Kluyveromyces lactis: one gene and its partner. The protein of the gene in region 1 binds, or shares a complex with, the protein of each later gene. Links are inferred from orthologs where the notes say so. Each region holds a gene or a part of one and is shown in the gene's direction. Other genes may lie near its edges.

Region 1 (4,147 bases):
TTGTTGGAAGGTGGTTCGAAAATCTTAGTTGAATCTTTCAACGTGGAAGAGTACTTGATTCGTGTCTTTGACCAATTTTTGGGCAAAGGCGTAGATATGCAGCTCGCTGCCTTCAGGAACGGATTTTCGAAATCATTCCCTTATTCATCATTGCTAATCTTAACTCCGACAGAACTATCCGATTTGTTTGGTGCAGTTGCTGAAGATTGGTCTGTGCAAACGCTATACTCATCCATTCATGCAGACCATGGCTACTCGATGGATTCTCCAATCATAACAGACCTCATAGATATTTTGTCGAATTTTTCGACACAACAGAAACGTTTGTTCTTACAATTCATCACTGGCTCTCCGAAACTACCTCTTGGCGGTTTCAAAAACTTAAAACCCAAATTCACAGTAGTCCTGAAGCACCCAGATGGGAACATCTCGGCAGACCATTGCCTACCTAGCGTTATGACATGCGCCAATTACTTGAAACTACCAAAATACTCTGATAAACTGGTACTCAAAGATCGTATTGCACAAGCAATGACTGAAGGTTCCGGAGCCTTCCTATTGTCATAGAATATGTATATAACTACATAGAGATGTCTGTAGATCTAACCATACTCCACCCTAACTAAAGATTTCAATACCACATACTTTCGTGACATGTGACAGGATTTACTCTTTGGGATTGGCGAAAATGTTGAAACTGAAATTTAAAGCTTAAGAGTTTAAACAAACGGAATGTAAAGATCAGATGGTATGCATGTTTATAAGCAGATTAGAGAAACGAGCAAGCTCAATTGTTGCTTTAACTGTGGCTTGTGTTAGAACTAGGTTTTAAATTTTATTAATCAGGCTATCTCTGCCGATTTGACAAGTATTTCAGAGAGTAATACCAGGTAATACCATCTTCTTTTGGATCTTTTTAATAACAAGCACACATTATTTGTTTGTTTTGGCGAGAGTGTGATTTTAGCAATCAAAAGACGTTCGTTACACTGAATTACACAACAGGCTCTCGTTTTTAAGTTAGAAGGAGGTGAAGGTAGAAAGAATTTTACAGAGCACGTTTTGTCATTTCTTTCATTGTTTATCTGACTTGATCTTCTATTCTTTGAACAAAGTAATCTAGCTTTTTTTCTGACAGAAATTAACACGGCCACAGCAGGCTTTGTTACTGACGGTTGTATGCTCTAGAAATCATTACAGACCTGTTTGTGTTTTTCGGAATACCTTTCCTTTTTGTTCGGTCGATAGAATTAACCACAAGACATCTTTTGACACAGGCCTTTTTTTTTTGATAGAAGCTACTACACTCACTACTTTGTCTCCATATAATGACGGATACTGGATATACTGAAGAATTGTTACCAGGCACATTTGATGCGCTTTCCGTGAGAGAAAATGGTGGCAATACAGAAAGTGACACCAGTAGCATACGCAAAAGTCAAAATCAAGATTCAAAACAAGAGGATGTACATCGTGAAAATCTTTCAGTACAAACTCTAGAGGATCATACAGAAGTAACGGAGACTAGGGAACAATCTGTCTCAAAAGATCTCTTTGATTTACCTCGTGCACCAGCGAGTTTGGATGTGAAAGGATTACAAGAATCAGACGAAGATCATTACGTCAAAGACCTTTCAGATTATAAATCTATGGATCCAGGGAAACCGGGCACCGTACCAACAAATGTTTCGGAAATTTTTAATAGTAACCAGCCAACTTTGGATGAACCGATACAATTTACAAGAGTCTCTTCCAGTTCTGTGTTAAGTGAAAGTATATCGGAAGGTGATGCAGATTTAATATCGCATCTAGAAGGAAAAGTGGAAGAAGGAAATAATTTGACTTCGAAGGAGACGCCAGGGACAATTGAATCTATTGTTGGAGATAAGACGATGTCAACTATAGAAGGTTCCTCCCAAAATATAGGTAGAATATCTACTGGCGGGAGGATGACACCTGATCTCTCTCTTATGGGCGGGGCCCTGGAAACTTCTTCTGACTTCCTAAATTCCACACAAACCTCAAATTCTCCAAAGATTACAACACCTATAACTGAAGTTGATGCCAATGATGTATATGAGTCCCCGCTAAATGAGATATTATCATCTACAGATAGTTTCAACAAGGCATCGACAGCGTCTGCAGATCATTCGAAACACGTAAGTGTGCATGAAGTAATACCTGAAGAAGAACCACATCCAGAAACAACAAATGAGGATCCTCCAATTAAAACTCCCGTAATGGTGAATAACTTTTTCGAAAATCAAACACCAGTATCAGAATCAAGATCCCCCTTCAGAACCATTTCTTCTCCGTTTTCTTCTCTGAGGAAAAACGTTAAGAGTCAGCATGGGACGCCTGACCACTCCCAGAGGAATTCTAATTCCTCCACCTCCTCTAATGATGTTAAGAGGAAGACCGGTACTAAGAAGAAAGGTGTTTTCTCAACATTCGTTCAAAACATCAAGAGGAACTCACACTCAGAGAAAAGAATTTCTAGCGGAAGCGGTAATGGAAGTGGAAATAATGCATTTAAGATCTCTACTCCTTATAATGCTAAGCATGTTTATCATGTAGGTGTTGACTCCAAAACAGGGGAATATACAGGGTTACCAAATGAATGGGAGAAACTTTTAACTTCCAGTGGCATTAGTATGAAAGAACAACAGCAACATCCCCAGGCTGTGATGGATATTGTAAAATTCTACCAAGATGTTACTGAAAACTCTGGAGAAGAGAAAGTCTTCAAGACTTTCAAAGTAGGAGGTGGCTCTGGTGCAAACATTGCATCTACACCTTCTTTCAGAACCCCATCAACTGCATCAGTACAGAAGTTCGAAACTCCGCAAATGCAAACAGATGCAACTTTTCCGAATGAAAACAATGATACCCCATACTCTAGTAACTTACAGGGTCCGCTGCTCACTAACGATTTCAGTGAAACTGTGAACAACGAAAAGTTCATACCGACTCGGCCTGCTCCAAAACCTCAAGGTTCCTCCACAGTTAGCCGTAGGGTCGAAATCCCTTCACCAATCAATTCGCTTGGCCATGGAACACCAAAAGTGCAAAGAAGTGATACTCAGTCATCAAGCATTTTCTCATTCAAGAAGATGCCAACATTGAAAAGTGAGCAACCATTACCTCCTATTCCAAAGGCTGCAGAAAAACCAGCAAATTTATTGCCTGCAAGAGCGGCTCCTACTCCACCAAAACCTGCAATTCCTACAACACCGGAACAATCCTCAATACCTGCAATTCCTTCCGGGCTTGCTGTGGAAGTGAAAGAGGAATCGAATACTTCTAATGTCCAGACAAGAAAGGCCCAGGAAAAAAAGAGGGAAGAGAGGAAAAGAAAGAATCAACAAATTCAATCAAAATTAACCGAGATTTGCACAACAGGAGACCCAAGCAAACTGTACAAGAATCTGATCAAAATCGGACAAGGTGCATCAGGAGGAGTTTACACAGCGTATGAATTGGGCACAAATGCTTCAGTAGCAATAAAACAGATGAATTTGGAGAAACAACCCAAGAAAGAGTTAATTGTGAATGAAATTCTGGTCATGAAAGGAAGCAAACACAACAACATTGTTAATTTCATTGATTCATACCTATTTAGAGGTGATTTATGGGTTGTCATGGAATACATGGAAGGTGGTTCGTTGACTGATGTCGTTACGCACTGTATATTGACTGAAGGGCAAATCGGTGCCGTCTCTAGAGAAACACTCAAGGGTTTACAGTTTTTGCATTCAAAGGGAGTCATTCATAGAGATATTAAATCAGACAATATTTTGCTATCCATGAACGGAGACATCAAACTAACAGATTTCGGTTTTTGTGCTCAGATTAACGAGGTAAATTTGAAGAGAACGACGATGGTTGGTACTCCGTACTGGATGGCCCCAGAAGTCGTATCAAGAAAAGAATATGGACCAAAGGTTGATATTTGGTCTCTTGGTATTATGATCATTGAAATGATAGAAGGTGAACCACCATATCTGAATGAGACACCACTAAGAGCTCTATATTTGATCGCTACCAATGGTACGCCAAAGCTAAAGGATCCTGGAAATTTAAGTCATAAAATGGCTATGTTCTTAAATTGGTGTTTAATGGTTGATCCAGAGGACAGAGGAACCGC
Region 2 (2,479 bases), on another chromosome or scaffold:
GTACAACTCTCTGAAATTGAAGGCGGAAGCTTAGGAGGCAAAGCTTCATCTATTGATTTTATCAGCACTAACGGATCCATCAACAAGGACATCGTTAGAAATTTCATCGATGACGTTTTACAATTCTGAAATCATTCGAAATATTTTGGTCCTTAATGCATATATGTATAATTATACAAAGTCATCCTGTAAATAGTGCGGAAGAACAGATATATAGACTTCATTTAAGTTTTTGACGTACACCTGTCGATTGATTCTCCATAATAGAAAAATATTTAACATAAACTATTTTACATGCTTTCGTATAAATTCCTTATGATATTCGCTTTGAGTAATATTATTGACATATTTTCCCTTCCCATTTGAATTATGTTCAGATATACTTGCCGATTGATTGACTGTACCTTTACGTCCAAATACAGTGTTAGATCTCCAACCACCATGCTTTTGCGGTTTCGTCACTTCTTCATTTTGAGCTGCTGTGATTTCAGCACGCTGTTCTCTCAGTTTTTTGTCCAATCTTTCTTGCTTAACTTTATTCCACTCCTCTAATAGCGCTTCTTCATCTTCACTCTCCTCCTCCTCTTCCTCGTACTCATCGCTACTATCCGTGGCCTGTATCTCTTCATCTTTCGAGCATTCCTCTGCTCCAGTTATTTTGATTCTTTTCTTAGCCTCCTCACTCGGAGTACTTTCTACTTTACGATTCAACACCCTCTTCTTCGTGTTTCTATACTTAACCTCTTTGTGCCCCGGTAAAAGTCTAGCGTGCTGCGTCGAAGTAGGAATGTATTCTATATTCTTTGCCCCATTCCTGGCCTCTAGTTGAGGTCTGTGCGATGTAGTCATTTCAGAACACAGTCAATATTATATTCAATCTGTAGCACTCCACTGAAACTAACGTAAGCTTATCTACCATCCCAGGTACCAGTTAAATTAGCTCACCTGTTTTGCCTGTGAACAATCTCGTGAATGTGCGTTGATGTTCAATCTTTATAGCCTTGATATGAAAAAATAGCAATCTGAAACTTCAAATGCGAATCTACGTTAACAATTACCGTGTACCAAAGAAATAAGAACTACGAACGTCGTACTGGCAACTACATATAGCAAGCTACATTTCATACCAAACTTTTCTAAGAGGACATAGGACTTTATCATTTAATCATTTCCCGTGGAGCATTCGTTCACACTAGAAATATAGAACTGAACACATATTGAATGAGGCTTTGAACTTAGATCAAAGACGGTGAGATTTACTAATAACATCAGAAGACATAACTATCATAATGTCAGAATATGAGGTTGACCAAGAGGACGATATGGTTGGGTACATATCGATAAAAGATTACGCATATGACGAATCAAATCCGTTACATTTTGGTTATTTTGAAGAAGATGATGAAGATCAGAACAACCTTCGATTGAGTGGGAACAGAGAAAGTGTGTTACTACCAGATGATTATATCGTTAATAAGAGAGCCATAGCGATGTATGCTTTTGTCCCAGAAAATGATAACGAGTTGGAGTTGAAAGAAGGAGATGTCGTATATATAAGTTACAAGCATGGCCAAGGGTGGTTAGTGGCAGAAAATCACGATAGATCCAAGACAGGATTGGTACCGGAAGAGTATGTGCAGTTGATTGAAGACGATGGCGAAGACAACGGTAGGTATGAGAATCCTAGGCCGTTTTATCTTACTCAAATGATAACGCAGAGCATGTCTAATTATCACGATGATGATTGGGAAGACATAGAAGATGACGAGGAAGCTGAAGGACATAGTGATAAAGAGCACAGAAGTATACAGCGACCCAGTCAAGATTCAGTATCAGTTGATATAACGAACAACAATGGTGTTTCTCATGATAATAGAACTGTTCTTGAAAACGGAAAAACAGGCAGTACGTTAAATGAAAAGAGCGACGTATCAGAACTCGCGAAAGATATCAAGGAGAAATTGGATCTATAGCATTCTGTTTTCTGCGCTAAATATCTATATATTAGCTGCAATATTAATTAAATACTTTTCTAGTAATACGTTACAATAAAAGTCCCGTTAAGATGAAATGAAAGAATTGATCAAAAGCAGTTTAACATGAAGCCCGTGCCTGCATTCTTAGATCATTCAAGCTCGTTGATTTCGATTTCATCAATTTCTGTAACTTCCTCTCCACGTTTGAGTTTCATTAGTTCTGTTATATCAAGAGCACCACCAATTTCATTCAACAAGCCATGGACTCCTTGGATTATTTCCTTGGCCATTTCATCGTCGGACTCCGCATTTTCACTGAACTTAGAAGCAAAGCTCAAAGAAACACGCGCCTCGTAAATAATGTCCTTCAATGACTCATTCTTGATATCCAAAGGTAATTCTTGGACGTGGGAATTGAATTCGTAGATATTTTCAGGAGATAGTTGTAATGATTGGTTTTGTTGTTTAAACTGTTCTAATTTAGCCATCAAATAATATGTGAA

What was found. Proteins that work in one complex are often made in the same cells at the same time.
Region 2: the proteins of STE20 (region 1) and NBP2 are in contact, whole or in part, in an NMR structure (PDB 2LCS), measured with the Saccharomyces cerevisiae proteins. The link is inferred for Kluyveromyces lactis from reciprocal best matches to the Saccharomyces cerevisiae genes STE20 and NBP2. Residues at the interface, in NP_011856.1 of Saccharomyces cerevisiae: Phe470, Ile471, Pro472, Ser473, Arg474, Pro475, Ala476, Pro477, Lys478, Pro479, Pro480, Ala483; in NP_010446.3 of Saccharomyces cerevisiae: Tyr119, Phe121, Glu124, Asn125, Asn127, Glu128, His143, Gln145, Gly146, Trp147, Val149, Thr158, Gly159, Leu160, Pro162, Glu164, Phe165.

What each region holds. Positions count from the first base shown.
Region 1 is NC_006038.1:1,190,264-1,194,410, forward strand, and holds the start of STE20 (mitogen-activated protein kinase kinase kinase kinase STE20), read left to right. Parts: upstream 1-1,328; coding exon 1,329-4,147. Other genes in the region: putative ubiquitin-protein ligase UFD4, read left to right, coding at 1-567. UniProt on the Saccharomyces cerevisiae protein: MAP4K component of the MAPK pathway required for the mating pheromone response, haploid invasive growth and diploid pseudohyphal development. Links the pheromone response G-protein beta gamma subunits to downstream signaling components.
Region 2 is NC_006040.1:1,430,447-1,432,925, reverse strand, and holds NBP2 (adaptor protein NBP2), read left to right. Parts: upstream 1-1,289; coding exon 1,290-1,973; downstream 1,974-2,479. Other genes in the region: SLS1 (Sls1p), read left to right, coding at 1-129; U2-type spliceosomal complex subunit CWC15, read right to left, coding at 286-849; ACL4 (Acl4p), read right to left, coding at 2,126-2,479. UniProt on the Saccharomyces cerevisiae protein: Negatively regulates the high-osmolarity glycerol (HOG) pathway through its negative regulation of the HOG1 kinase activity. Mediates the binding between the PTC1 phosphatase and the PBS2 MAP/ERK kinase (MEK).